4 linked regions of the Notamacropus eugenii genome follow. The protein of the gene in region 4 interacts with the protein of the main gene of each other region in a pairwise test. Links are inferred from orthologs where the notes say so. Each region holds a gene or a part of one and is shown on either strand. Other genes may lie near its edges.

Region 1 (8,286 bases), on a different chromosome or scaffold from region 4:
CCCCAGCAGCCATTGCAACAGTCCAGGTGGGAGGGGATGAGACCTGTACCAGGCTGGGGCAACACAGAGGGGAGAAGGGGGCAAATTCAAGAGATTCTCCAAAGGTCAGTGGGACAGGCCTTGGCCACAGCTTGGATCTGGGCGGCTGAGACCAAGGCTAGGAAGGAACCAGGAGACAAAGTGGTCTGGACAAGAATATGAGGGGAGGAAAGTGACCACTTAGTGAAGCAACACCCATTCAGTGAACAGGCCTCTCTAAGAAGTGAGTGGCAGGATGCATGGGAAAAATCCATGCAGTGTTCCTGGCGGTCAGAGCATCTGGTTGGGAGGAGCCTGAAAGGGCCCCTGGGACAGGAAGTCCCAGGGACCCCAATGTCTAGTGAGAGGACCCCCAGCTTCAGAATCTCCCTGCCTCAGTGCCCAGTGCCCTCAGGGAAAGCAGCTACAGCTACCACCACCAGTACCACAATCACCACTCTCAGTACCATAAGAACCAGCCGCAGCAGCCCCCCCACAGTGAGTGACTTTCTGGCTCTTATCTTTCTCTTTCTCCAAGCTCGAAAAATCGATCTTGGGTGTACATGGGCTCCAGTGTCCAACTGCAGAACTGCAGAAAGCTCTGACTCCCTCTGTCTGTTTCTCTTTCTCTCGCTGGCTCAGCCCCACTTCCAGCCTACTCTGGAGGAAAATTCATCCTCTGGGTGGGGGTCCTGGGCAGTTTTGCTGCCCACAATTGTGAGCAACCAAACTCATGGTAAATGATCATCCAGTTTGAATAGCAGCTTTGAGCAGCCCAGTAACATGTACAAGCAATTAAAGGAATAAAGTTTCTCATGACTGACTGCTTTGGTTCCAAATGTGGTGGGCATGATAACAAATAGCTGCCATCCTTCCGAGCAGAAGGAAAGAGGGAGTGGATGGATAAAAGAGAAGCAGCAGTCCTCCCAGGGATGGAGAGGTGGGGGATGAAAGGGACTGTGAACAACACCACTTCTAGGGCTGTATCCCAAAGAGATCATACAAATGGGAAAAGGACCCACATGTACAAAAGCATTTCTAGCAGCTCTCTTAGTGGTGGCCAAGATCTGGAAATCGAGGGGATGACCATAAATTGGGGAATGGCTGGACAAGTTGTGGTCTATGAATGCAATGGAATACTCTTGTGCTATAAGAAATAAACAGGAAGACTTCAGAAAAACCTGGAAAGACTTTGCTGAACTGATGTTGAGTGAAGTGAGCAGAACCAGAACACTCTACACAGTAACAGCCACAGTGTGCGAGAACCACCTTTGATAGACTTAGCTCTTCTCAGCAATGCTTGGATCTAAGACAACTCCAATGGAAAATGCTCTCCACATCCAGAGAAAGAACTATGGAGTCTGAATGCAGATGGAAGCAGACTATTTTTCTTTTTTTGTTTTGTTTCTTGTGGTTTTTCCCCTTTTGCTCTGATTCTTCTTCCACAAGACTAATGTGGAAATAGATTTAACATTGTACATGTATAACCTGTATGTCAGACTGCTTGCTGTCTTGGGAAGGGGGGTGGAGAGAGAGAGAGGGAGAAAAATTTGGAACTCACAATTTTACAAAAAGAAATGTCCAAACTATTTTCACATGTCATTGGGTTAAAAATACTATTAAGGAGAAAAAAGAAAGAAAAATAAATAAGTTAAAATCCCCAAGCCCGCCCAAACATTAAATTTCTGAAAATTGCATGCTCAATGAGCTTAAACGAAGATTAAGAAAAGAAAAACCAACTAATTAATAAGATAAAGAGGAATCAAATGGATAAATGAAGAAAACGGGCGGGGCTGCCCCTTGGCTTCCGCACGTTCTGGCCCCGATCGCTTCGCAGCCTCCATCTCGGTCCTACTATCCTGCACTCGTGTCCGCCGCGTCCTTCTCCACACTCAGACGCCTTCCAGAGAACAAAGGAGAAGATAAATATTTGATGACAGACAGACCGACATTCGGGATGGGAATAATGACCGCGGGAAGGCAGGCTCCGGATTCGGTTACGCCGGAGGATCGGGTGAATGGTAATTAGCCTAATGGAGAACCCCTGAAAGTCTCTGCCCTCGGAGAGGCTCCTCTCAAGAGCCTCCCATGGCTTGTTATAGAGACAACGTGCATCTGTCTGGGTTCAGGGGAGCTGGGTGCAAATCCACAGTCAATGGCTCAGTATTAGATTCCCAACATTCCCTCCTTGTGCCTGCCTCTCTGAAGGAGGAGCCTTGGGCATAGAAGAGCAAAGGGTACAAACATTGATTAAGCACCTACTGTGTACTAAGTTCAAGGTTAAGCACTTTACCTTTATTATCTCATTTGACCATCACAACAAACCTGGGAGGTGGATGCTATTATTATCCCCAGTTTACAGTTGAGGAAACTGAGTCAGACAGGCTAAGTGACTTGACCAGGGTCACACACCTGGTAAGTGTTGGAGGTTAGATTTGAACTGGGCATTTTCAACTCCATGCCTGGCACTCTGCCCACTCTGACACAGAGCTGCCTCTGGTTCAGTGCAGGGTATGAGAGCCAATTTGGGCCACATGAATGGACAACGTCCTTCCTACCAGACTTGGTTTACCTGGAAACAGTGGCCTGATCAACAAGTGCTTTTTGGTCTTGGCAGCTGAATCTCCAGGGAGGACTCCCCAAGAGGATGAATAAGGCTAAGGACAGTCATGCTCCGATTGGTCACAGGAGGGCTGCCCACAACTGGTTTTGGACATCCATTTACAACAAACATATCTCTTGTAGAGGAAGAGGAAAGCCTTCCTCTGCCACAGGCCTGTGGCCCAGCTGAGTCACCACTCTCAGAGGAGGATGATTTGATTGTTTTCTTTTGCCATAAAATGTCAAATGCCCCAGGCTGGCATTTCTGTAGAGGGTCTTTTGCTTGGCAAAGCGAGGGTGTGGCACTGGCCTCAGTTTCTCTGAGAGGGCCTTCCTGGCCTGTAGTCAGCTTGTTGACTGACTATGGAATGCTCCCCTGCTTGTTCAGGGGAGGGTGAGTGTGGCAGAGATCAGAGGCATGTTACAAGCGGGCAGCCTCCTGGGATTTGGCTCTCAAGAACGGCCCTGAGGCTGCCCCCACCTTTCAGGACAGCAGGCCTGCTGATTCTTTGCTCCCTTGTTGGTAGGGACCCTGTGTTCTCAGCCTTGAGAGGCCAAACCCTGGAGTCTCCAATCTAAGATTCACAGAGTGAGACTGGCCTGGCGTTGGGGGCACAGGGCAGCCTCCCCAGGTGTGTGCCAGGACAGTGCATTTGGAGCCTTGGAGAAGGGGGCTGGGAGGTGCTCACTGGGCATTGGCTCGCCATGGGATCCTCTTCCTCTGCCCCCCCTCACCCATGGGTGCTGGGGTCAGCCAGGCTGCACAATAGGATACTGTTATTCAACACCAGGTCCACAGACTACTGAGAAGTCTGGGGCCTGCCCTCAGGGGGTTCAGTCTGGTGAGGAGCAAGCCCCTAGCCTGGAGAACTTTGATGCCCAGGGTTACGCAATGCCTGGATGCCAGTGGGGCAGGGAGGTGCCAGAACGGATGCCAGGGGTGAATGAGTCAGACCTGTGGTGGGAAAGACTAATAACCACATGGCTATTTGTAACACTCATCTGTCAAAGGAAAACAATCGGGAGACTGGTGCATGTAACTCAATGGGATGCCTGACTCCTGGACCCTGGCTGGAAGACAGACAAAGCAAGGCCTCCTCTTCTGACATCCTGGGGCAAGTGCAAGGACCCCCTGCTCCAAGGGGGCTGATGGTACCTGGGAGACTAGGGGCCCTGGGTCTGGAGCTGGGGGTCCTGGTTGTACATGGTGTGCCTAAGCAGGGTCAATTTTGACAAGTCACTTCTGCCCATGGCCTCAGTTTCTCCACCTGTAAAAGGAGAGGGTGGCTGAGACCCTCCCCAGCTCTGGAGCTAGGATTGAATGGTCTTAGGTTTTACAGAGAGGGAAACTGAGACCTAGAGAGTGAAAGAGACTTGTCCAAGATCATCTAACTAGTAAGTGGATGCTAGCCCAGTGGGAAGATTGGTGGGTTTGGAGTCAAAGGCTCTGGGTTCAAATCCTACCTTTGCCATTTACTGCCAGCGTGACCTTGGGTGATTAGGTTCTCCTCCCTGATCCTGTTTCCTCATCTGGCTCTTTGAACTTCTGGTCTGACTCTCTAATTGTTGCCCCAGTGGGCATCATGTGGCTTCTGAGGTGCCCAGGTGAAGGTTCCTGGCAGCCCTCCCCCCTCAGTTTCAGCACTGCTTGCCCCCAGAAGGCATCCCGAGGGTGGGTGCCAGTACCGGGTGGCCAGGGGCCCCAGGGTTCCCTGCAGCTCCCAGCTCAGGGCTGGGCTTTTTCTCCTCTCCCCCACCCCGATGTGGATCTCTTGGAAAAAATGAAGTCAAACAGGTTCCCCAGCAGCACACACAATTGGCGGCTGTGACAGGCCAGGAGGGCTGGGTCCAATCCTCAGGGTTACCACTGGCCCTGCCCCTGGGCACCTTGCGCAGGCCGGGTCGGGCTGGCCCACGACGGGAGGGCTGGGTCAGTGTTACCTGAGGGTCAGGGACACGCGGAGCTGGCACTGGCCCTGCCCCTAGGCTCCTTGCGCAGGCCGGGCCAGGGTGGCCCACGACGGGAGGGCTGGGTCCCATGCTCAGGATTACCACTGGCCCTGCCCTTGGGCACCCTGCGCAGGCCAGGCCGGGGTGGCCCGGGAAGGAAGACAGAGAAGCCTCAGCCACGCTCCCGGCTTGGGACTCCCAAGGTCCAGCCCCGGCTGCTGGGTGACCTTGGGCCGGGCCCTGCCCGTCTCTGGGCCGCCGGGCTCCAGCCCCAGGCTGAGACCCCCACAAAACGCAGGGCCGGGGCTCGAGTCCGGCAGACGCAGCGATAGCGCTGGGGAAGGGCCCCAAGCACCGGGGGACACCAGGCTGGAGGACTGACCCTGAGAGGCGGGGCTTCGGGAGGAGGACCCGGGGGCGGGGCCGGGGCGGCCAGGGGATGGGGGCGGGGCGGCCGAGGCCGCTCAGGTGCGGACGGAGTGACCCCGGGCGTCGGAGTCAGCCCCTGGAGCGGCTGGACGCTTTGGGATCGGCGGCGGCGGCCAGCCGGGTCCTGGTGTCCGCTCTGGCTGAGCTCGGGGCCCCGGACTCTGGGGCTTTTGGACGGAGCGTCTGGCAGACCCGCGAGCCCCAAGGTACGGCCAGGGCCAGGGAGTGGAGGCGGGAGGCGAGTGGGGTGGGGAGGCCCGTGACTCCGTGGCTCTGTCTACGCTCAGGGCCGAGCCTGAGGACGCACTGCGGTTGTGGGTGCCCTGCCACGGGTTCCGTGCGTGGGAGTGTGTGCGCGCGTGTTGGGGGGAAGGGGGTGGGGAAGAAGAGGGGCACCTTCCCCGGGGCGCGTCGCCAAGGGGTAACCGGCCTGGCCACCCCCTCCGTGGAAGACCTTGGCTTACAGCTCTGCTCCCTCCCAACTTCGGTTTCCCCAGCTGTCCAAGGAGAGGCCCGGGCCAGCCCGTGCGCCTGCAGAGTCCCCATTTGCACGGGAGGACACCCATGCCCGGGAGTCCGTGGGCAAAGTGCCCACGAAGGAGGTGGGAGGGGGCGTCTCTGCTGCCCCGCTGACGCCTTGGGCTCCCCTGGTACCAACCCCGGAGGGGAGACCCCGAGTGTGGACCGGGCTAGGGAACCCATCATTAACTAGGAATCTGGGGTTCCGGGACCTAGTGGTTAAGCAGATGATCAGTTTCTCCAACCCACCCCTTCCCCTCCTGTATTGGGGGGAAGGGGCTAAGGGCCAGGCACAGCCCTTGAATTCAAAAGTTGTGACTGACCTCTGGCAGTCTGTGAGTGTGTGAATGGGGGTGGGAGTGGGCGAGGCACTGCCCCCAGCCTCAGTTTCGACATCTGCAGAATGAGAGCATTTCCCATTTGTATAGCAGCATCTTAGTGACCATGCTAATGCTTTCAGGGTCCCAGGGAGGGGCCTCCTCTTGGAGTCTATTATGATTCCCATTTTACAAAGGGGGACAGTGAGGCACACTGAGGCCAAGCAGCTCACCCAGGGTCCCCCATTCAGGAACAGCCTGAGGCGGAATTCTGGCCCCTGTCTGGCAGTCTCAAGTCCTTTGTCTTCCTCTCACCCCCACCCTCCTCGACTGCTTTCTGGATTCCCTTTAATAAAGAGAGAGGGAACCTGACTGTCCTATCCCATGAGTTCTGGGGAATGACTTTTATGCTTCCAGAATCTCCCTGTCAAGGAGAGTCTACTGCTAAGGGCCTCTGGGTGGCCAGAATCAGAATGCTGGACCTGAGTCAGGAAGCCCTGAGTTCAAATCCAGTCTCAGACCATCCTAGCTGTGGGACCTTGGACAGCGTCTCTCTGGTGATACAAGGTCCTCACCACCCCTCCCACCCATCCACCCATCCCCAGGCAGTGTGAGGATTTGGGAGGTGCTCTGCAAACCACAGGACCTGCCATACAATGCTAGCTACTGCTGATACTTCTAACCTCCATAGTTAAGTCTGGGAGAGCCCAGGACCCCGGCCTGGTGCCTGGAGAGCAGAGACCTGACATCCAGTTGTTCTTGTCCTGGATCTCCCTCCCCTCCCCCCCTCCCCGCCCCCTCCCGCTCAAGCCTGCAGGAGTGTGCGGGGTATCGCCTGAGACTTTGTTTGGAGCTTTTCCTAGCCTGGTGGGTAGAACACCCATTGATCATATAAACACACTGAGGCCCAGGGAATTGGGAAGGAATCCTCAGAGGCCGGAGAATGCTCCTTTCTTCTTGGCTTTTTGTAGCCACGAATGACTTTCTCCTTTTGACCCATTCTGGGACCAGAGCCCTGACTTGAAGCTAGAGGCAGATTTAGGGTGTGGCCTTTAAGACCTATCTAGAAACTGTACACCCTCCCCAGAACGGAGCCTCAGGGCTGGGTTTGCTTTGCTTTGGTGTTGGGTGGCAGTTGGACCAGGGCTGGCCTAAAGCTAACTTTTCCCTTTAGGAAGAAAAAACTCCTCAGATGTGAGATCTCCTTCAGGTGGTTGCTCTCTCCAGTGAAGCAGATCACCACCCAGTCCTGCCCTGCCCTTCCCCCCCAAGTGTTTGGTCCTCCCAGAAACCTTGGTAGACAGAAGACTGTGTGGGAAGCCCTGGAATTTGCAAGGGAGTCCTCCACATTGTGCCTTGTGTCACTCCCCTGTAACCTTGGCTTCCCCATCTCCATAGGTGACTGTCACCTCCAGGTGAGGCTCTCTGGAGGGCAGGGCCTTTGTTTTCATTCTTCTGACCACCCAGTGTTCTGGGGACCTTCCGGGAATGCTTTCCATTTTCATGGGAACATCGAGTACAGCCCAATGGCTTGTCCCTCCTTCCCTCTCTGACAGCCGGCCGGCCTTTACATGACTCACAGGAACACTGCCTTTTTTGGCCCCCAAAGTCCTAGCCTGATGTGGAGGAATTGGAGAGGTGGCCCCAAGGCCTCAAAGGCCACTCGAACTCTGCCGGGGCCTGGTAGGAGAGCAGAGGCTTTTGGAGTTGGCCTGAGCCTGCTGGACTTTGTCTCCCCCCCAGTGAGGAATGTGGTAGCTCCCGGCATCCCAGGGAAGCATGAGACCCTGATAAAGAAGATGTAAGGATGAAAGGACAAGCGGCCGCTTCATATCATCCTGAACCTAGCCTTTCTAGACTAATCCAGTCCCAAGAGCCACCCAGGCTGCCTCTCATTCCTCCAGCACTGTCGAGGGCTAGGGAAAGCCATGCTTTGGCTCTGAACCTCCATTAATCCAGCTGGCCCACAAGGCCCAAACCCACTCTGACGCACAGTAGGGATATTAGAGAGGCAGATGAAGGGGAAGTCCATGGATGACAAAGACAGGGGAGGAGCCATCCCACTGTCCTACTGGGAGTGATCTCAGGCCTGGAGCTGGCAGGGATGGCACAGGCCAACCCCTCCCCCCAGGGCTCCCCCCCAGCTTCCTCTCTGGGAGGTGAGTGGCTCCTCTCAACCCTTTCCAAATAAGAAAACAACTAATTTGTGTGTGTGTGTGTGTGTGTGTGTGTGTGTGTGTGTACACACATACATATATATGTATATATACACACACACACACACATATAACCTCTCTCTCTATATATATATACATATACACATATATATAACCCATACACACACACACACACATATATATATAGGAGGGAGAGAAAGGGAATAAGCACTGATTAACTGCCTACTGTGTGCCAGGCACTGTGTTAAGTCAGCACTTTATAAACACATCATTCA
Region 2 (7,553 bases), on a different chromosome or scaffold from region 4:
TGGCCAGCCCTCAGCACCTCCCTCCTTCCCCAGATCCCAAAGCTCCCACCAAAGCCTCCTGGCCCAGACACACCTCTTTGGATTTGGCAAAAAAAGCCCGTTTGACTTCCTTCATGCTGGCGTCTGGACAGATCCCCAGAAGCTCATAATAGTTACTTTGCCTTGCCCTGCACAGAAGATGGAGGTGGGGGAGACTGGATAGTTCTTTGAGTCCCCAAAGTAACAGAATCTTATCCAGTCACTGAAGAGATAGTCAGGGGCTGGGGAGATAGTGGGGCCCTGAGCAGATCAAGCCAGCCTCTTATACAAGAGACCTCAGAGGTCAGAATCAAGTCTTGTTTTACAGATGACGAAATGGAGGCCCAGAAAGGGGGTGGAAGTGTTTGAGCTGGGACTCAAACTCAGGCCCTCTGAGTCCCCTATCCAGGACTCTTTGTGGAGCATAGAATGTGGGAGCTGGGGGTGGGGCACAGAAGAGAAGCCCCACCCCCCACCAGTCTCAAGCAGGTCCTTACCACCAAAAAGGGATGACTTGTAGACCACCTGGTCCAACCCCCTTAAAACAGCCCTGAAGAACCCAAGGTCACAGATAGGTCGGGAGACAGGCCTGGGGCTGGGGTCTCTCCCTCTCCTAGCTGGACTCACCTCAGGCAGAGAGCAGAGCTGAGGGGCCTGGCAGAAGGAAGGCATCGGGGGCATAGCTGGCAAAGCTGAGGGATCAAGCGGAGGAGCAGCATTTCTGCACCTGGGGGAAGATGGGCAGGACACAGACAAGTCACCCAGGCTGCACTTGGCTGGATGGTCTCTAAGTTCCCTTGGGTGGGCTGGGAATCTCTGGCAGCAGAGATAGCCTTGGGCAGGCTTCCTGAGAGTGATGATGGGGGGGGGGGGAGCTTCTGTCATTGGGTACCCTGGGAGTTGGTCTTCCCTTGGGGAACACTGAGAGGGTCTCTGATGCTGGGGGACCCTGGGGGGCATTTACTAAGCACCTACTTACTACGTGCCCCAACCGTGCTAAGCACTTTCCAAACATGATCTCATCTAGTGCTCACAACAACCCTGGGATGTGGGTTATGACCGCTACTCTAGGGCTGAGAAAACTGAGGCAGACTCAGGCGCGGTGACCGGCCGAGCCCCTGCAGCCGGCAAGGCTCCGAAGCTGATCGGGGCTGCGGCCGCCCCGCGGCAGCTCATCCTCCTACTCAGGTCAGCACCTGGGGGGACTGCGGAGGCTGGGCATCTGACCCTGGGGGCACCGGCGGCCACCAGGGACGGCCAGAAGGGAGCACTGGGGGCACCGGCGGCCACCAGGGACGGCCAGAAGGGAGCACTGGGGGACTGGGGGTCTCGTGCACTGCGGAGGCTGGGCATCTGACCCTGGGGGCACCGGCGGCCACCAGGGACGGCCAGAAGGGAGCACTGGGGGCACCGGCGGCCACCAGGGACGGCCAGAAGGGAGCACTGGGGGGACTGGGGGTCTCGTGCACTGCGGAGGCTGGGGACCTGACCCTGGGGGCACCGGCGGCCACCAGGGACGGCCAGAAGGGAGCACTGGGGGCACCGGCGGCCACCAGGGACGGCCAGAAGGGAGCACTGGGGGGACTGGGGGTCTCGTGCCCTGCGGAGGCTGGGCATCTGACCCTGGGGGCACCGGCGGCCACCAGGGACGGCCAGAAGGGAGCACTGGGGGCACCGGCGGGGTCTCGTGCACTGCGGAGGCTGGGGATCTGACCCTGGGGGCACCGGCGGCCACCAGGGACGGCCAGAAGGGAGCACTGGGGGCACCGGCGGCCACCAGGGACGGCCAGAAGGGAGCACTGGGGGGACTGGGGGTCTCGTGCACTGCGGAGGCTGGGGACCTGACCCTGGGGGCACCGGCGGCCACCAGGGACGGCCAGAAGGGAGCACTGGGGGCACCGGCGGCCACCAGGGACGGCCAGAAGGGAGCACTGGGGGGACTGGGGGTCTCGTGCACTGCGGAGGCTGGGCATCTGACCCTGGGGGCACCGGCGGCCACCAGGGACGGCCAGAAGGGAGCACTGGGGGCACCGGCGGCCACCAGGGACGGCCAGAAGGGAGCACTGGGGGGACTGGGGGTCTCGTGCACTGCGGAGGCTGGGGACCTGACCCTGGGGGCACCGGCGGCCACCAGGGACGGCCAGAAGGGAGCACTGGGGGCACCGGCGGCCACCAGGGACGGCCAGAAGGGAGCACTGGGGGGACTGGGGGTCTCGTGCCCTGCGGAGGCTGGGCATCTGACCCTGGGGGCACCGGCGGCCACCAGGGACGGCCAGAAGGGAGCACTGGGGGGCACCGGCGGGGTCTCGTGCACTGCGGAGGCTGGGGATCTGACCCTGGGGGCACCGGCGGCCACCAGGGACGGCCAGAAGGGAGCACTGGGGGGCACCGGCGGGGTCTCGTGCACTGCGGAGGCTGGGCATCTGACCCTGGGGGCACCGGCGGCCACCAGGGACGGCCAGAAGGGAGCACTGGGGGGACTGGGGGTCTCGTGCACTGCGGAGGCTGGGGATCTGACCCTTGGGGGCACCGGCGGCCACCAGGGACGGCCAGAAGGGAGCACTGGGGGGGCACCGGCGGGGTCTCGTGCACTGCGGAGGCTGGGGATCTGACCCTGGGGGCACCGGCGGCCACCAGGGACGGCCAGAAGGGAGCACTGGGGGGACTGGGGGTCTCGTGCACTGCGGAGGCTGGGGATCTGACCCTTGGGGGCACCGGCGGCCACCAGGGACGGCCAGAAGGGAGCACTGGGGGGGCACCGGCGGGGTCTCGTGCACTGCGGAGGCTGGGGATCTGACCCTGGGGGCACCGGCGGCCACCAGGGACGGCCAGAAGGGAGCACTGGGGGCACCGGCGGGGTCTCTGACTTGGGCGTGTCCGGCCTTCGGGAGTCCCTCCCGCGGGGAGGGAGAGGCTGACAGGAGGAGGAGCAGATTCTCACCCCCCTCCGGGGGGGAAACTGAGGCAGAGGAAGTCTCTCTCTCTCTCTCTCTCTGTCTCTCTCTCCCCCCCCCCCGAAACCTTCCCCTTGCCCCAAGTCCTGGCTCCGCAAACAAGGCTGATGTCCCCCCGCCCCCCCAACCTTGATCTCAGGGGAGGGGCCAGGGCGCTAAGCCCCGCCCCCACGTACTGCCTCTGTTGTGCCCCCCCGCCCCCCCCCTCCACGTCCGCCCGGACACTCACGGGAGCTCCGCAGTCCGACGCCCGCGCCGCCATTTCCTTCTCCCGCTCAGACCACGCCCATCGCCCGCCCCCAGGATCTTACAATTGGCCCACGCCGCTCCTAGTCCCGCCTACCAGGCCCACAAAAATCAGTTGACGTAGCCCCACCCACCACCCGTCCTCAGCCGCTCCCATTGGCCTTAGCGCTCTTAGGCACGCCCATCAAGAGGCAGAGGCGTAAGGAGCAGGACCCGACGTCATGGAGCCCCGCCCCCTAGTGGAGCCCCATAGGCCCCCGTAGGCCCCGGCCCCTCCCCCTTCTGCCTAGCCTGCTTTGCGGGGTGTGTCTTGGGCAGGGGGCGGGCCCGGAGGGTAGAGGTTTCCGAGCGCATCTCACCCAGCCCCGCCCTGCTTTACAGAGGAGGTCAAGTGACTTGTCCAGGGTCACCTTGGGAATGAGCCAAGAGTCCATGGAGTGCAGCCCCCACCCCGGCTCCCAGCACACACAGGGCTGGGAAAGCCGTCCCCAGGGGTCAGTTCCTTTCCTCCTTGGGCCTCAGTTTCCCTAGCTGTTAGATGAAGGCGTGCTGGGGTCTTGAGTTTGATATTATCTCATTAGAAATCGTTCCTTATAATCCTATTCTTTTATGCATCAAAAAACTGGTAAGGAGGGGTCCGTGGGCTTCCCAAGACGCTCCCAGAGGTCCAGGACCCAACGAAGGTGAGGTGTTGTCAAGGTCTGAAGCAACCTGTAAATTCCAGGACCGCATAGACTGAGCTCACGCAGTAAGCTCATGCCTCTTTGTCCATTTAGGAGAAACTAAGGCACAGTGCCTTACAAGACAGAGTGGACGACACCACAGCTCCAAGAATAAAGGCTTTATTGTCCGGACGGCCCAGGACAGAGCTGAGAAGGGACGGCAGGATACAAGGTACAGGGGCTTTTCTCAGGCCAACCTGGCCTGGACCAGATTGTAGAGCAAAATAGCGCCCTTGGCCGAAGGACAGAGCTCACCCCAGGCTTCGGATTCCTCCTGCAAGCGCCCGACTCTCTGTGCAGGAAGACAGTCTTGGATCAGGGTTTTAGGTCCCCAGCCGCCCTCCCTCACCTCCCCACTCCTGGTTGCTTCTGGGTATTCTTGCCTCTTAACACCAGAAGGGACCTCAGAGGCCCCCTGTCCACTTGCTCATGTTTCCTCCCTGTCCAGAATCCCCTCCCCACCATGTCTGGCACAGAGCAACCCAGCCTTTGCTTGAAGACCACCGGGGAGAGGCAGTGTGGGCAGCCTTGCATCCATCCCTCCCAAGCTCTATCCTCTGGGGCTAAGCAGAGTGATCTAATCCCTCTACCACCTAGGATAAGCATTCCCATTTCTTTCCACCACTCCTGTGATGTGAACGTGAGCTCCTTCCCCACGTGGGCCACCCTCCTCCAGAGAGGCTTCATTTTGTCAATGCCTACCCTAAAGTGCTGTGCCCACAACTGAACACAATACTATCTTCCACTAACACAGGATAAGCCAGAGGGAACCCCCATGGCTGCCCCAGACTCTCCTGGAGCTGACTGTTCACTTAAACCCTAAGACCTTTCACACTGGAACTAGCATCTAATCAGCCACACCAGCCACACTGAGCCCTGGGGCTCAAGACATCAATTGTACAGATTCAGGATTGCCTGTTTACCTTCTTTAAAATCTCATCTTGGCCTGGGAACATCTTAAAACATAATTATTATCTGCCCATGTGATTTGGAGCAAACCAAATCCCACCTGTGGCCCTGGCTTGCTATCCCCCAATCTGTCCAGCCTTCCACTCACTCCCAGCATCAGCCAAGGCATCCTGTCTCCCAACTCTCACCTGCGTTTCCATGAAGATGATTCCAGTGGACTCATGAGCTTCCGGTCCTCCGGTCATATAGAGGGTCTTCACCTGCTCAGAGGTCAGGCTACAGCTAAAGGAGGAGGGGGAGAGACAAGCTTCTGGGAGAAGGGCAGACCCACTCTGGCCAGGGGTCCCAAGCTCCATCCTGCCCTGAGGCTCCAGGTGCCCAGATCTCAATTTTCCAAGCCCAGGACTTCAGGCCTCTCCTAGAAGAGCCCTTCTATGATGCTGTGCCCCTAGGGACATCAAGCTTTCCCTGAAAAGTGGAATCTGGCTGATGGCAGAAGAAAGCCTGGTAGTTCACACACAGCAGGATTTGGTTGTATTAAAAATAAGACCTTCTAAAAAAAGTCACATTTTAAAATGTTTGTGCCCTGATCCCCTCCCTAGTTTGCCTATTCCTACTTCTAATTCTGTCCCTCAGAAGAAGGAAGCACAGTTCCCCATATGATGTCCACTTACCTGACATAGAATTCAGCACTGGCTCTTCCTGCACTGGTCTCATTTCGGGCAATGCCCAGAAGGAGGGGATGGCTCAAAGTGGATAGTGGCACATTTACCTGGTGGGGGTAGAGTCGGAGGTCAGGGGTCATTGCCTCAGCTCCTGCTCTCCCCACTCTCCACATCCTCCCAGCCCCAGGCTCAGCACCTCACCTCATCTCGGATCTCCTGCAAGATGGAGGAGAACAGCTCCGGAACCAGCAGGTCCTCGGGCAGATCCTCGTGCCGGGGCATCTCCCCAGGAAACAGGGCCTACAAGGAGGCAGCCTCAGCTCGCTCCCCTCCCCAGGGCAGCCTAGCCTCTCAGGCTGAAGTCCGCAGCTCCAAGAAGACTTGCCAGGTGGACCCGGCCTTGCTCTACTCCCTTTGTCCCAGCCCCACTGAAGCACATCAGAGGAAGGGCAACAGGCTGACCAGAAAAGAGACAAGCTCTAGAGACCAGGAGACCTGAGGCTCTAGGCCTGGCTTTGACTTTGCGTTTCACACACCCTTCCTTTTCACATAACTCCCTCATAAGCCATTGGTTTCTGGCAACAAAGAATCAAAGGGATAGAGAATGGACCTGGGATTTCCTGGTTGAAGAAGCTCTTGCAGGCAATGCAGGCCACTAAGTCTCAGAGAGCTGCCTAGAGCTCCACACAGCCAGGAGGGCTCTTCTCTCCTCTGACCTCAGCTCTTTAGCCATAGACTCATCAAATAAAGAAGAAAAATCATCAGCTCAGCAAAACGGATAAACACATGAACAGGTCAAAAGAGCCAATTGTGAGCGAGGCAACCGTGCCTCATGGCTACTCTCCCCGCTCCGTGGCTGCCTGCACACCTCCCCAGGGGCTGCTCTCCTTCCAAAACCTTCCTCAGATCCCCCCAGCCCTGCTAGTCACAGTCCTAGATCGCTCCTCCTTTCTCCACTGAACACATTCTGTTCTCCCCTTCTTTGAAGTTCATCACTCACCCTAGCCGCTCTCCAGCCCTCTGGTCCCTCATTGGACATTTGAGTGAATGCCCCTTAGCCAGTAGATGCAACATCCCCAGAATGGAACTCATCACTCCTCTAGACCTACCACTTAGCATGGTGCCTAGCACACAGTAGTCATTTAAGAAATACTTGTTGGCTCAGTGCCCAGCACACAGTAGGGATTTAAGACATACTTACCGCCTCCACTTCCCTGTTTTTGCTGAGTCACCAACATCTTTTAAGTTATCCAGGTTCAGGAGCCTCGTGGGTCATCTATGACACTCCTCATTCTCACCCCAAATCCAAATAGCTAACCAATTGCTAAATTCTGTTTCTTCCTCCACAGTCTCTCTTACAACCTTCCCCGCTCTCTCTGTTTACATAGCGTTATCACCGTAGTGTTGACTCTCACCATCCCACCACCTCACCCCTGGACTATTGCAGTAGCTGCTGTGGGGTGGGGTGTTTGTCTGCCTCAAGCCTTTTGCCACTCCAACCCATCCTCCACTCAGTCACCAAAGGGATTTTCTGAAAACCCAGGTCTGGTCATGATGCCCCCATCCTGTTCTCAGTAACTTTCAACAGCTCCCTATTACCAAAAGTATCAAATAGAAACTCCTCTGGTGGGCAGCAAGGGGGCACATTGGGCTTGAAGTCAGGAAGATCTGAGTTCAAATCTTGCCTCAAATACTTACTATGTGTGTGACCCTGTCTGCCTCAGTTTCCTCAACTGAAAGACTTCTAGTTCCTGGCTTGTTTGGGCTCTAGAAGGCCAGTGGCTATCTTTGCCTGACTCTTCAGGATGTAGGTGCTCACCTGAGGTTCAGGATGCCCCCCTGGCACATCTATCAGCCCAGGGGCCTCAGCCACCCTCAGAGACCGGCGAAGAAAGACCAGGAAACCATCTGAAGTGCCCAGCATGGCACCCACTCCCAGTGGGTCTGCTAAGTAGGCCTGGGCATCTCCCCAGTCAGTTTTCCCCTGGCATCGCAGCCTGCTTGCCGAGCTAGCCCAGTTGGTGCCTAGGAAGTCCTGG
Region 3 (8,214 bases), on a different chromosome or scaffold from region 4:
TATAACCTCTAGAACCAGGACATTAAGTATCACTGTCTTGACCTCTACATCTCATTTTTAGCTCACATGTCTTCAATACTTTAAAGTTTACAAAGCCCTTTCTATGAAAACCTTTTGAGGAAAGCAGTATATTATCATCACCATCTTATGAATAAGGGAACTGAGGCTCAGAGGAGGGAAACAACAAGCAAGCTGAGTTAAACAAGAAAGTGAAAGGGCCAGAACTTAAACCAAAACTTCAGACTCAAAATCCATGGCTCTTTTCAATCTGTAAATGCCTTCTCTCTTCCTCCATAGTTCTATAGCAAGTAAATAAACAGTAGCAGGCTACGCTCCATACTTTAGTGGATAACCCTATAAAAATAGCGACTCTGCAGAATAGTTTTCATTAATCTCTGAAAATAACTATAAATCAATGTTTTAGACAGCTACTATAACACCAAGGAATCTCTGGGCTACAATTTACCCATATTTTAACATTCAAGGATAATTAATGTATCACACATAGATTATTACAACATGCATATTCCATAGTCACATATATCTTATAACATGAATATTACATAAAGAAACACTTCACACTAACGGGTTACTGTGGTGACACAATCAACAGCTTTTTTCCCAATTCTAATGAGACAATGGCCTCTGGCACAACACTTTATGTAACATAGTGACAAGTATTGACTAGGCATTTATACATTTGGTCTATGAATTGTGTTATAAAGTTAAAGTTTACAGAAATGAGTAAGTCTCCAGGAATTCGTTTCAGCCATCAGTTATATAATATATGATAGCTACACACATACACACACACTAACTCATTTCATTTGTGTACAATAAATTTAAAAGTGTGGTCACTTCAGAAAATCAGAAATCAGGAATCCATTTTTAGTTTTTTTTCTTAAAGGTAGTAATTTCAAACCAAAGAGGAATGCCTTGAGAGGAGAGGTAACGTTTTAGTGGTTTCAAGTACAGTAGGAAAAAAAAACTAAACCCTGCTGTGGAGAACATGCAACACAAATAACAGTTAACAAGAATAGTCCAAAATGCCAGGTTTTATCGAGACAGTTTTAATGTTTCTATGACTTCATTTAAGTGTGCCTTAAAACACTAACTATGAGTTCATGGTGAAACTGAAAAAAAAATTAAAACTTCACCAGAAAGATAGGAATTGACCTGGACCTGTGATTTCATAGATATAGGAAATTCAGGTTAGGAAATCCTCTTCCCAACAAAGGTCAGCACCTTCTCTGCCTAGAGCACTGAGAGGTTAAGGGTCACACAGTCAGTATGTGTTACAGGCAGAGCCTGAATCAAAGTCTTCTTAACTCTATTCAGGGGGCCATTCTGCCTCTTTATCCCTACTGTGCATCACTGAAAGTGACAGAGGAATATAAAGATCCTTTTCAAAATTTCCTTGAATCATCAAAAGAGTTGAAGCAGATTATGTAATGAGGGTAAGTGTCTAGTGTCCTACCTATCTCCTTCTGTAGTTCATATTACCTCAGAAAAGAAGAAAATAATAGAATGTGAGAACTAGAAAAGTCCTTTAAAGATCATCTGGTGCAAGCATCTTATTTTGCAGATGGAAAAGCTGAGGTCCAGAAAGGCTTTCCCTTGCCTAAAGCTGCACAGCTTGTTGGGAGCAAAGTTAGGACCAGAATCCATTGTACTACAAAAAGAGAAAGAAGAAAAAGCCAGGAGAAGCAGAATGGAGGTGGGTGAAAATGAGTTCACAGACTAAGGATTATTGAACGAGGTCAAAAAAAGATGTCAAAACAAAGGGGGATGAGGTGAAAAACCAGAAGTAAAAGGAGGGAAGGAGGAAAAAGGAAAAGAACTGTAGGAGGAAGAGATATAGAAGACAGATAACAAGAAATGGAAATGTAAGAGGGGAAGAAGGAAAGCAGAAAAGCGATTAAGGAAGGAAAACACAAATGGGCAAAAAGAAATGGAAAAATGAGTTAGATGAGTTTAGAAGTAGTAAGAAGGGCACAGGAAACTATAATTAGGGAGGAGAAATGTGGAAAAAAGGAAAAGGTGTCTAAAACCAGAAAAAATGTGAAAACACTAGAGGAAGGGGTGGGGCTTCTGAATCTCCAGTTCCCTCCCTCTCGGACCATTTTAAATTTAATTATTTTGCATTTTTTACTTTCTTTACATTAACTGTAGCTATATACACACGCATATGTACCTATATGCCTCTCTCTCTTCCTACACACACACACACACACACACACACACACACACACACACACACACACACACACACACACACACACACAGATACACCCCAATAGCTATGCCGATACAAATACAGGTATTATTGCTTACTCCTCCATGAGAAAGTAAGTTCCTTTCTAAAGTAGGGATTGTTTCATTCGTTATTTGTATCGCCAGAACCTAGAACATTGCCTTGGCACATAGTAAGTATCTGATACTTATTGATTATCTGGGGGAATAAGCTGTAAAATGAAGAAAGGAAGAAAAGGGGAGAAAGAGGTTAAATGTAAGAAAAAACAGAAATGGAAAGAAAAGAAAGAAGGAAGGAAGTAGATTAAAAAGGAGAACGAAACTTTAGGAGAAGACGAAAAGCAAAGAGACAAAACTGTAAGTAGGGAAAAGGAGAGAAGGATGGAGTGAAGAAGCATCAGTGAAAACGAGAGTGAGTGAAAAGGAAAGAAAAGGGGGGGGGGGGGTTCAGCGAGGGAAGGAAAATGTAAACGGAGGAGAGAACGGAGGGCAGATCGGCTCTCGGCTGTGCGCCACGGTCGGAAGGAGGGGACGAGGGACGGGAGGCTAGGGCCGGGGGCATGGGGATGAGGGGCGCCCGAGGCAGGGCCCGCCGGCTCGGCGGCGGCTCCTTACGTGTTTGAGGCAGCGCTCCTTGAGCTTCTCCACCGTGGTATCCTCGGTGACCTCCTCCAGCCACTCGGTGCCTTCCATGGTGCAGATGTGAAGCCTCAGGACCTTCCTGGCGAAGATCTTCTCCTCCTGCACGAACATCGCCGCCCTCCCTCGGCTCCGGCCGGGCCCGGGCCTCGCTCGCCTCAGTCTCCCTCGGCCTCAGTCACCGCCGCTGCTGCCGCCTCACACGGCCCTCCTCAGCCGCCCCGGGGCGGGGGGCCCGCGGCCCATGAAGGTCACCGCGGGCGGACGAGCGAGAGAAGCAGAAAAGCTAGTCCCCAAAAACCCCGGTCCCGGCCCCGACCCTGGCTCCCGCCCCGTAGCGACCTGTCACTCGCCGCCCTCCGCCCGCAGCCGTCGCCCTGACTAGCTACCCGCCGCTGCCGCCGCACGCCGGAAGTGCGGGAGGAGGTGCGCCCCGGGGTATTCTGGGAGTTGTAGTCCCAGCTTCGACTCGCCTCAAAGGGATCCCGTGGACCCTAAGAGCAAGAATGCGCGGGATAAGATTTAGAACCGGAAGGGACCTAAGACTAAAGAATATCAGGCTGAAAGACCAACATGAAATAGAAAACGTTACAGCTGCAAGAGAACTTGGAAATAAATAATGTCGTTTTGTAGATGAAGACACTGAGACGCAGGAGGAAAGGGACTTGCCCAAGTTCACAAGGCTAATTCAGTTGGATGAGGAGCCTCTAACCCAGGCTCTGTTTAGACTCCCCTTGGAGCTGTCCAGTTCTGAAAGCAGTCATTTGGAAACGCGATCACATTCTTTGCTGTGGTGACCTTGAGGGAGACACTCAATAGGATTCAATTCAACTTAATATTTGTTCATATGGGCAAGGTGCTGTGTTAGACACTGGGGATACAAAAACAAAACTAACAGCAAACAGTCCTTATGCTCAAAGAGTGTGCATTCCATTGGGAAGATAAGGTATGTACACAAGTAAGTAAATGCAAAATATTCTCAAAGTAATTTAGAGAATGAGAGAGTGCTAATCAATAGGATGAATAGGAAAGGCCTTTAAAATGTGGCATCTGAACTGCTCTTTGAAGAGGAAGCTAAGCAGCTTCTACATTAAGGGATCGAAGGGCTTGGGATATGATATTCAGAGGTCAGAGGAGCTAGGATTAAAACCAAGAATCACCTACCCAGCAAAACTGAGTATAATCCTTCAGGGGAAAAGATGGTCATTCAATGAAATAGAATACTTTCAAGCACTCTTGAAGAAAAGACCAGAGCTGAATAGAAAATTTGACTTACTAACACAAGAATCAAGAGAAGCATGAAAAGGTAAACAGGAAAGAAAAATCATAAGGGACTTACTAAAGCTGAACTGTTTATATTCCTACAAGGAAAGATAATATTTGTAACTCTTGAGACTTTTCTCTGTAATTGGAGGGGTTATATACATATAGACAGAGGGCACAGGGTGAGTTGAATAGGAAGGGATGATATTTTAAAAAGTGAAATTAAGGGGTAAGAGAGGAATATATTGGGAGGAGAAAGGGAGAAATGGAATGGGGCAAGTTATCTCATAAAAGAGGCAAGAATGGAGGGGAAGAGAGAGGAGGTGAGAGGGGAAAAGTGAACCTTACTCTCATCACATTTGGCTCAAGGAAGGAATAACATGCACACTCAATTTGGTATGAAAATCTACCTTACACTATAGGAAAGTAGGAGAGAAAGGGATAAATGAGGGCTAGGGGGGATGATAGAAGGGAGGGCAAATGGGAGGAGGGGGTAATTAGAAGTAAACACTTTTGAGGAGAGATAGCATCAAAAGAGAGAATAGAATAAATAGGGGGCAGGATAGGATGAAGGGAAATATAGTCTTTCACAACATGACTTTTATAGAAGTGTTTTGCATGCCTATATTTGTATAATATATATCAAATTCTTGCCTTCTCAGTGGGGATGGGTGGGGAGGGAGAGGAAAAGAAGTTGGAACTCAAAGTTTAAAAAACGAATGTTAAAAATTGTTTTTACATGCAACTGGGAAATAAGATATACAGGTAATGGGGTATAGAAATCTATCTTGCCCTACAAGAAATCAGATGGAGATGAGGGAAGGGAGGAGTGTAATAGAAGGTAGGGCAGATTGGGGCAAGGAGTAATCAGAATGCACATTGTCTTGGGGTAGGCAGAGGGGAGACATGGAGAGAAAATTTGGAACTCAAAATCTTGTGGAAATGAATGTTGGAAACTAAAAATAAGTAAATAAATTTTAAAAAGAAAGAAAGAAAAGGGAACTAAGGGATTCCAAGAAGTGGAGATGGAAGGAATACGTTCCAAATATGGGAAGACCATTTATGCAAAACATAGAAATGCATGATGAAATGTGTGGGGACCAAGTATTAATTAAGTGGCTAGATAGAGCATCTATTAAGCACTTATGTGCCAAGCAGTGAAGTAAATACTGCGGATACAAATACAAGTATACTTTTGTTGGGAATTGTGGAAGAAATGGATAAAATCTGTGTGCTGTAAGTTTGGGGGAAACATCTCTCCAGAAAAAGTAGCTTTAAAGGTCAAAAGGAGCTACAGGAGTGTGTAAATTTTATTCAACAGGATAAGCCCATTGATTCTATCTGGAAGGAAGCTTCCACTACCTTGGAGACCTAGGTTCTGATAGGATTAGTGACCAGAGTAAACAGGATCCTTGGTAAATCCTTAGACAACAAGTCATAGCTGACTCTTTTTGACCCCATTTTACAGGTTTTCTTGGCAAAGATTTCATTTTGCAGCTGAGAAACTGAGGCAAACAAGGCTAAGTGATTTATCCAGTGTCTGATTTGAACTCATGAAAATGAATCTTCCTGGTTCCAAGCCCAGTGCTCTATTCACTATACCACCAAGTGTAACAATAATTTAAGGTTAATGGAGGGGGTGGGGGAGAAGAGTTAAAGATCTTCCCCACCCATTAACAGGCCTCAATATCTTTTGCTAATTTCTATTGAAGCACTGGATCAGGGGATCTTGCCCTCTTGCTCTGAAAAATGTATAAATACTCTGAGGTGAGGTTTTGTTTTGGGGCTTACTCATTGGAAATGTTTGTTTGGCCAGAGGAGACTCTGGGTAGCTGCTAAGAAGCCCCCCCGACTTTAAAAACCCAGATATTTATTGGTGCTTCTCTCTCTGGTAACTATGTATGTACATTGGTCTGTGAAGTTGGATCTGTCTGTTGATCTGTGATGTATGTATTGCTTCTGGTCAGATAGTTGGAAGCCCTGTCTGTTGATCTTTATTTCTCTGCCTGTATTTTTTCTGAAGTTCAGGGTGCTAACTTTTCCCCCTGAACTAAGTGAATGATACATGTGCTTGATTAAAATAGATTGTTGATCCCTCAAAAGTCATTTTCCTTTTAGAAAAGCAGATCTAAGAACATGTACAACAGGCCCTCCTGTGTATGCCAGGGTCTTTACTGTTACAACTAGCTGCCCAAGAAATGAAGTTAACAAATCCAAACTCCATTTAAAACATCACTTCCCCCAAATCACCTGACATCCTGTCCCTATTATTCAATAAAGGAAGTACCTAAGTTGCCTCAGCTGAGAGATTTCTTATGCCACTGTAAAACTATAAAAACACCTTTTGCTGTGTAAAATCCTATGTATGTATGTACCTCCCTTGGTTCTGTGGCTAGTCACCTATCAACTGCCTACCAGCTGATGATAATGAAACCTTATGTCTTCTAGCCTTGCCTCTTGATTTATAGGCCTTCAGTCAAACAGTCCAAAGTGGGAGGATCTCTGGACTGAATAATTCCTCAATAAGATACAAGTGCAACCACGTTTTTGTTTTGACTGATTCAGGGGTAGTCTCTACCCTCAAAGAACTTACATTCTAAGGAGGAAAGACAATACATAAAGGGGAGTCGTAGAGTTGAGGGGTACTAGATCAATTGCCTATCTCCTTTCTCTGGAAAGAAGATGGAGAAGTTTAGAGAGTGATTGAAGAGAATATGGCCTGAACCCCTCATAAAATGGTAATCTTGGCTAGAGACTCACCAATCAGAAGAGCAAAACTCAAGGCAGAAGTATCTTCAGGGTGGGAAGACAGTTCTCAAGGCGGTTGAGAAGTTAGAAGTCTGGAGACTGAGTGGGCCTCAAGGTAGATTGCTGTGGTAAAGGCACTTTGCCCTAGCTCAGAGGAGTCCAGTGTTTCTCCTCCTTTGACAAATATACAACATGATATTTCACAGTTCAGGGCCCAATTTGCCGTAACTACAAAGTTACTACAGAATTAATGCTAATAACTATTCTTTAAAATAAAGTAGCATTAGATAGTTCTCAGGAGATCATTCTGGCCTTTGCATTCTTTTTCCCTACCAAAGGCCTGCTTGCTGGGGGTATGAAGGCAAAAAACAACAAATGGACCCTGTCCTCAAGGCATAGTCTACTGGTAAAAGACAAAATATACAGATATGTAAATAATAAATACTTTGAAAATGGAAAGAATGTGATGTAAATGGGAAGATCTGGAAAGCTTCAGAAAAGAAGATGTACCTTAAATGAGCCTTGGGGCAAGTGAATGGTAAGAAGGAAGCACATTCCAGGCACAGGAGATAGTATAGACAAACCCTGGGAGAAAGCATGTCAAGTTTGGGGAACAGTGAGGTTGGAGAGAGAATTTAGAACTCAAAATTTTTAAAAATAAATATTAAGAATTGTTTTTAAACATAATTGAACAGCTAACATTCCAGTCTGGTAGGAACATAGAGTATATGAAGAAGAGAATTATGAAATAAAACTGGAAAAAAAAATGTGAAAGTCAGATGGGGATGATTAAATATCAAGTTGAGGAATTTGTGTTTTATCCTAAAAGTAACAGGATTTTTGAGTGCGGGGATTACATAGCCAGACCTGCTTTTAGAAAAGTTTTGGAAAGAAAAAAAAGTCCACTGTAGAAAAGCTGCCTTCCAGCTCTGACTTTCTTTAAGGTCCGTTTTCAGCTCTCATATTCTATATCTTTAAAGCCCTTTCAGCTCTAATATTCTGGGTTCTAAGGCCCGTTCCAGCTCTGACATTCTGTGCCCTAAAATTCCTAGCCCTGACATTTGACAATTGTATCAAGGGGAAGAGGAAAAGAACTGACCACAGAAGTATCATTTCCTTGGATATCCCTGGCCCTCTTCTCCCTGTCCCTCCTCCTTTTCTGGAACTTGATCTGAGCTTCAACTAGGATGGGACAGAAAAGAGGGAGAGAAATGGGACAGAAAGGCTAGAGGTGGCTTTTGGTTCTAACTTCTATGCTGAGCAAGCTCTAGTGGCTGAAGACAGGTTTCATTTTCCAGGACAGCAGCCTGG
Region 4 (7,287 bases):
TCAGCTATCTCCCTCCCCCTCCCACAAAATATAAATTTCCAAAAGGCAAGGGAGATTGCAGTCTATTCTCTCCAATGAAGCCTCATCCCACAGCTCTAGTTTACACTTCTTAATGTTTGCTGAATTGAACAGAATGATAAGGATTAAGAAGATACTAGTGTATCATTCTAAAATTTAAGTTGGTACATTTTTGTGTGGCAAAACCTTGTCAACTTTAACCCAGTGCTTTCTAACCGAGAAGTTTTATACATGGCATCATGATAACCATACCAAGACCAAGAATTCTCCCAAAGCCTCCATAGGGAAGCTAGAACAATGCAAAAGAGTTATTCTAACCATCCACACTAGAAAAACAAAAGTAGATGAAAAACATATGCTGCTCAGTCTATAATATAAAGCTAGACTGATAGTCCATCAACATGTACAACTTGAACACTTAATTAAAATAAAAAACCGAGCCCAGATTGAACATGAGGAGATTGGGCTAGCTCACATTTAGACACTAATGTGTGCCTCTTAGTTGCACATTCCAAACTGCATATTGCCACAAATATCCATCTCTTTTAAGGACAGACATGATAAGTCATGTCTATAAATCATGATATGCCAAAATCTTGGAAGAATCAAATTATAAGTAACCCTAATAGCACTGGAAAGATTCATGATGGGTATAAAAAAAAACAATGGCATATTACTAGCAATGACATGAATATGAAAAGTAGAGCTTAAAACTCTGAGGTTCTACCTCACATAAATAAGATTAGCAAAAATAGCAACAAATGAAAATGGCAATTATTGGTCAGGTTATGGGAGATCAGGCACACTATGGACTGTTGATGGAACTGTAAAGTGATCCAAGTACTCTGGGAAATAATCTGGAACTGTATTTTAAATACCACTAGTGAGTGTGTGTGTGTGTGTGTGAGAGAGAGAGAGAGAGAGAGAGAGAGAGAGAGAGAGAGAGAGAGAGAGTGTGTGTGTGTGTGTACATCCTTTCACCCAGCAATAGCACTATTAGGCATATATCCTAAACAGGTCGAAGACAGAAAGGAAAAGATTCGCAAGGACAAATAATCATAGCAACACTTTTTCTTGTAGCAAAAAACTGGAAACAAAGTGGGTACACAGAAGAAAACAAAGCTCTGAAGGGGATACAAGCTGGGCAATTGCTAATTATTAAATTAAATATATTCTATCTTTCAAAGCAAATTGCCCATAATGGATATTCCCCTTCATATGCAAACCTTTTTTTTTGTACATTGAAATGTTTTGTGTCTGTGGGAAAATAATTTTATAGTAAAAATAAACTTTTAATTTAAATGGTGTTTTAAGTTAGCATCAGTGACTAGGACAAAAAAGTGGGCCAGTTGTATAGCCAAACTGACAGACCAAAGATGAATAATTCCCCTGCTCCCCCAGTATCCTTTGATACAAAAGAACCAGAGTCAAGTTCCTAGTACATTGGACAGATTTTCTAAGAGGGATTTATGTGAAGACACACAAGAATTTACAGGATGAAAAGACATGAGAGGTTTTGCCTGGTACTGGTGGAGAATGAAGTCACACCTATGGACATTTGGGTCCAACAAAGTAGCTAAAGTAATTTTCCATAATTATTTTTTCGTGAATTATTTTCTTACTATTTATAACAATATTATTACAAAGGTATAATACTATATTCAGGCCAATGTTCACTGACACCATCTTTAACCTTACTGATAAAAACAGGCAAAACTTCACATCAAGTTCTCAGCTTTCATGGTGGCCTATGTATTTCAGTTTCAATTAAGTAAATTCTCAAGAAAACAGAGCAGCAGACAACTAGGCAAACAGTCTATAAAAGGATGACATCTGTGACCAGTTTTATTTATTTTCTTCCTCCATGTGTTGTCTTCCCCTGTCAGAATGTGAGCTCTTTGAGAACCGGGATTGTAGCTTTTCTATCCGCAACCCCGGTGCTTGGAAGATAGTAAGCACTGAAACGCTTTTTCATTGCTTCAAATTGACATGTTTCTGTAACGTGCATCTCAGAATTATCGTACGTGCCAAGTCCAAGCAAGTTACAAACAACATCGGGAAAGTATATTCAAGATTATCTTCCTAGTCTTGTAACAATTTAACTACTGTCTCCAGAAGCATTTTTCTTTCCAAGAGAAAAAAATGGACTTCAGGAAAATTTTCCCAATACTTTCACTATTACCATCTCTCGTTTATTCAAAATTAAAATTCCTGAACTAAGAGTAAGTTCATCTCATTTTTACTATTATGTACTACAACCTATTCAAACTCTTACAGACCAGCATGGAAAGTGAGAAGTTGGGACCCTTCGTTATTGTCATCATCATGGTGACCCTGACTAGAATTTAACGCTCTACACAACTTAGTAACGAAGCCAAAACTCTCAGGTCCAGAAGAGCCACCCCCGGGGCTCGGCTCTAGCGGACGTCCCGGGCCCCACCCTCCGCCCCCGCCAGGACCCAGGTCTTGGGCTGTCAGAAACCCAGGGCGGGGACCACAACTTCCAGACTTCACTCCAATTCCTGAACCTTCCTTCCCCCCGAACTTAGAGAAGTGACGGGAACCCAGCAGAGAGCCCACGGGAGAGGGGAGGAGGAGGGGGGGAAGAGGAGGAGGGGGAGGGGGAAGAGGGAGGGAGAGGGGAGGGGGAGGAGGGGGAGGGGGAGGACGGCCGGAGGGGGAGGGGGAGGACGGCCGGAGGGGGTCGTCTCAGGTCTTCGAGGAAACGAGCGCGAGAAGCGGGTCCGCTTCCCAGCAGGGGAGCAAGCGCAGGGAGCCCCGGGTCTCCCGACGCTGGGGGGAAGGATGAGGGGACCCCCGGCTCCCTTCCTCGAGGCGCGCACCACGGGCCCCCTCAGCCGGGGGAGGAGACGCCAAGCTGGGGACAAGCTGAGGGGGCCCCCCGACGTCCCCCCTGGGTCTGGGAGGAGACCGGACGTCTAGTGCCCAGGAAAGAAGGGGGTGGGGCGAGACCCCCTCCCTCAAGCCGGGGAGGTGACAGGCTGAGGGGTGCCCTCGGGGCCAGGACCACAGGTGCTCCGGCCGCCAGCCCCCCGGAGCCCCACCCCCAGGCCCCGTTTCTCGGGGGCACCGGGGATCCCGGGAGGGGCCGGGGCGCCGCGCTCTCCCCGCCCGGCCGGCGCCAGCCACTCACGGTCGGTGCGCCGGCTCCTCCCCCCCGGACGGCCCGGGCTGCGGCGGCGGCGGCTGCTGGGGCGGCTGCTGCGGCGGCTGCTGGGGCGGCTGCTGCGGCGGCTGCTGGGGCGGCTGCGCCTGGGACGGCTGCGGAGGCTGCGCCGGCGCCGGCGGCTGCTGCTGCTGCTGGAAGGACTTGAGGGATTCGAATGCCTTCATCAGCTTCTCCAGGGTGGCCATGGCGGCCAGTCAGCGGGAGGCCCCGCGGCTCCCGGCGCCAGCCCAGGGCCCGGCGTGGCCCCCTGCGCCCTCCCCGGCGGCCCCCGGCCTCTCCCGCGTCTCCGCGGCCCCGCTCAGCAGCCGGGAAATGAATGGAACGCTTGGCAAAGACCCGAGACGGCGCCGAGCGCCGCCGCCATCTTGGAACTGTCCCGGCAGCCCCCGCGACGGGAAGCGGCCCTCAGCGCGGGGTTGAGCTGGGAGGAGACACTGACGCTGACGAGAGGGGGCACCGCGGGAGTGACAGCGAGGCAGAAACTGCGGCCGCCAATCAGAGGCGAGAGGCGGGCCTAGGCCCCGCCCACCTCCTACGGGGCGGGGCCCCACTGTAGCGCTGGCGGCTGCCGACGTAGGATGAACGTGGTTCTGGTACATTGAGAGGGGTTAAGAGATGCCCGAGGAAAGAGGGACTCTCTGCATTCCTCGGTCTCTGGAAGAAACTCAGCCGAACCTGTCCGAGAGTCGGCCTCATCCTCAGAGAGCTGCAAAGCCACACAACAATCCCATGAGGAAACGAGTACGGAAGGGGAAATTGAGGCTCAACAAGTAGAATTGGCCCTGGGCTAAGTGTTGAAGGTTGAATTTGAACCCAGGTCCTCTGAGGCGGGATTCAGCGTGTTAGCCACTAATATCGTCCCAACCTACAACAGAGCCTCCCCCACCCCCACTACCAGTCAAAAAGTTCTTCCCCATGTCTAACCTCCTTCCTTTTGTTTTGGAAGCAGCCTGATTCGACTCAAAAAGCAAGGCTTGCCTTCTTGCCAGGCCATGTATCAACACAGTTCATCCACACAGGTCCCTTTTCCCCGAGAAACTCACTGCCTAGCCTGGAGATGAGACAGGATAAAATCCAGGGTAGCTTGCTTTGTGTGCCAATTCTCCGTACCTCCTGTATATGCTGTCCTGTGCCTAGCTTGTTCGTACATATTGGATTGCTTGGGGTCCACACCACCCACCACCGTTAGATTGTAATTGCTCTGGAGAGCAGAGACTGTCTTTGCCCTTCTTGTATCCCCGGTGCCCAGCAGGAAGGGGACGCCTTATAATTTATTGAATGCTGCTGGTGTATTATTTTATTGGGGAGGGGGTGGCATAGAGAGGGTTAAAAGCTTCAACAACAGGAATTCCTATAGGAGCTAGCAGTATGTGCTCTCTACCCCCACCCCCCATCTCTTAATGGGGAGTTCTTAATGGGGCAGTGCCGAAGTTGGGAGGTGCACAGGAAATGATAAGAGGGGTACATGGGTTTATCCCAACCTCAGAAATGAAGGCAGATAGTGTGAGGAGGCAACTAATACCTTCCCTCTGAGGCAGGAAGGAGGTTTAAGGCATTCACCCTGTCTGAGCTAGGCACAAGGATGAGGGGACCCTCTCTGGAGAAGGAGCATGGAGGTAATTCACAACTGTCTAAGCAGCCCCTTGAACCAGATCTCGGAGCCAATGAGAAGAGGCACCGAAGAAACTGACAAGTAATCTGACTCTGGCAGAGTAATTAACAACAGGGGATAGAGGGATCATCCCAGAATCTGGAAAACTGCCAGACATCTGCTTCCATGGACAAGTCACTCAGCCTTTCTGAGTCTGTTTCCTCTTAGCTCCCAGGGCTATTCCAAACCTCAGAGGAGATGATATTATAAAAAACACTTCTCAAACTTTAAAGTAGCATACAGATGTAACTTATCACAGGGATGATAGAAGGTGGCCAGGGCCAAGAGGAACTTGGGAACTCGGAGGGAAGTAAAGGGGCAGCAGAAGCCATGAAGTGTCTTTTCCCCTGCTAAGAGGAAGTAGACTTTCAGCAAAGACAGCTGATCATACAGAGATTCAGAGAACTGCAGCTTTGTCATAAATGATAGTCTAAGAGGAGAGGCGCTGACCCAAAATATGACCCAGACATGATACAAGGCAACCTCCTTTTGCAGCCTAATGAAACCTGTGGACCCCTTCTCAGAATCATGTTTTTAAATGTATAAATTAAAATACATAGGATTACCAAGGAAACAAATTGTTCGTGAATCCCAAATTAGGAACCCTATCCCTGTCTTACACTTGAATTACATTGGCACTCCCAATTACATTTTAATCTGGTTTGAGCTGCACTTGAGAGTGGCCCAGTATTTGACTCCTTTGTCCTACAGCACTCTTATCAAACTTAACTATAAGGATCATATATATATATTCATATGTATGTAACTTAATTTTGAAATATAATATTGTCTATTTTTTTTTTTGCATTTTCATTTATTTTGTTAAATATTTCCCAACTGCATTTTAATCTGGTTCATACTGGTCCCTGTGTTTAATACCTCTGTCTTAGAACATGAATTCCCTTGGGGAGAATGTTTTTCTTTTCCCCCTCTGGCCCTTGAACTCATGAGAGACTCCTTGTTTGTTTTGAGGAACTCTCTACATAGTTTTGCTTGGTATCTGCTATGTGCGTGTGTTTCATTTAAATACTTTACTATTTGACTTGGGCTTCCTGCCTGGACTCTGCACTGAATGGGGATTTGAGCTGTACTTTTTCCACACAGTAACCCAAGGGATGAGGGTGTGGGTTCCAGAGTCCAGTAGGAAATCCATTCAAGTAGTCTAGCAAAAAGAGCTCTAGATTTCGATTCCCAGGACCTTTGTTTTAAACTTTGCACTCTGATACTTTGCCAACTATGTTACATCTCTGAGCCTTGTTTTATTCATCTACAGAAGGGAGATAATTATACTTGTACTTAATAGAATTGTCATGAGGAGAACAGTTTTTATCCTTTAAATGCTTTCTTAAACCCTAAAGCCCTGGATAAATGGAATTTATTATTTTTAAATGGTTATTTACTTATTTGTCCACAGAGTCCTCATCACAGCACAGAGGAGACCCTAGCAACACCTCAAAAGCCAACACCATTGGAACACAACCTCTGGTAGATCCTACAGATATGGAAAGGATAAAAAGTACAGGCCCAGTGATAGAATTAATGTCTCATGACTGAAGGTTTAGCCTCCTGGAGTTATTTTTTTTTAATCACAGTCCCTCATGAATAATGTGGAGGAATTTTGATCTTAATCTGGGAAGAGATAAAATCATGGGCCCCTGAAGTATTATTGTCTTCTCCCATTTCTAAATTCCCGTCCTACCAGGCCTTTATATCTTCCCATACACCTAATACAGGGCTCTGTACTTAGATTTAGAACTAGACTGGACTTCAGAGGTAATCTAGTCCAACTCTCTCCTTTCACAGAGAAGGAAAACGAGATTCAGAGAAGCAAGGAAATAAGTATTTATTAAACGCCTACTATATGCCAGGCACGGAACTAAGCATGTCATTAATATTATCTCATTTGGCTCTCATAACAACCCTGGGAGGTAGGTGTTATTATTGTCCCCATTTTACAGAAGAAAAAACTGAGGCAAAAGAAGTTAAGTGACTTACCCAGAGTCACAGAGCTCCAAAGTGCCCGAGGCTGGATTTGAATTCAAGTCTTTCTGATTCCAAATCCAATGCTGTATCCAGTAGAACCACTGAAGTCACCAGTAGTAATCATAGTAACTAAAATTTATATAATGCTTACTATGTGCTAATTATGATAAACGCTTTATAATTATTATTTCATTGGATCCTTACAACAACCCTGGGAGGTCAGTGTTATTACAAGCCCCATTTTACAGATGATGGAACTGAGGCACATAGGGTGAAGTGACTTGCCCAGAGTCATACTGGTAAGCGTCTGAGGCCACATTTGAACTCAGATCTTCCAGACACCAGGCCCAGTGTTCTAGCCACCATACCACGTAGGTAGTAATGGAAGAGCTAGGATCTGAACCCAGAACCCCTAACTCCAAATCTAGGGCATTTTTTTTCACTG

The links.
Region 1: the proteins of HTT (region 4) and MTUS1 interact in binary tests that used the Homo sapiens proteins (3 or more experiments, as listed by UniProt). The link is inferred for Notamacropus eugenii from reciprocal best matches to the Homo sapiens genes HTT and MTUS1.
Region 2: the proteins of HTT (region 4) and DNAJC4 interact in binary tests that used the Homo sapiens proteins (3 or more experiments, as listed by UniProt). The link is inferred for Notamacropus eugenii from reciprocal best matches to the Homo sapiens genes HTT and DNAJC4.
Region 3: the proteins of HTT (region 4) and UBAC1 interact in binary tests that used the Homo sapiens proteins (3 or more experiments, as listed by UniProt). The link is inferred for Notamacropus eugenii from reciprocal best matches to the Homo sapiens genes HTT and UBAC1.

What each region holds. Positions count from the first base shown.
Region 1 is NC_092878.1:168,561,237-168,569,522, forward strand, and holds the start of MTUS1 (microtubule-associated tumor suppressor 1), read left to right. Parts: upstream 1-5,010; 5' UTR 5,011-5,204; intron 5,205-8,286. UniProt on the Homo sapiens protein: Cooperates with AGTR2 to inhibit ERK2 activation and cell proliferation. May be required for AGTR2 cell surface expression. Together with PTPN6, induces UBE2V2 expression upon angiotensin-II stimulation.
Region 2 is NC_092873.1:17,067,136-17,074,688, reverse strand, and holds the start of DNAJC4 (dnaJ homolog subfamily C member 4), read right to left. Parts: upstream 3,288-7,553; 5' UTR 3,202-3,287; intron 746-3,201; 5' UTR 738-745; coding exon 646-737; intron 168-645; coding exon 74-167; intron 1-73. Other genes in the region: uridine diphosphate glucose pyrophosphatase NUDT22, read right to left, coding at 4,128-4,232, 5,038-5,131, 5,524-5,621, 5,716-5,814, 7,334-7,553.
Region 3 is NC_092872.1:490,823,842-490,832,055, reverse strand, and holds the start of UBAC1 (ubiquitin-associated domain-containing protein 1), read right to left. Parts: upstream 3,311-8,214; 5' UTR 3,007-3,310; coding exon 2,869-3,006; intron 1-2,868.
Region 4 is NC_092877.1:53,267,519-53,274,805, reverse strand, and holds the start of HTT (huntingtin), read right to left. Parts: upstream 3,406-7,287; 5' UTR 3,394-3,405; coding exon 3,173-3,393; intron 1-3,172.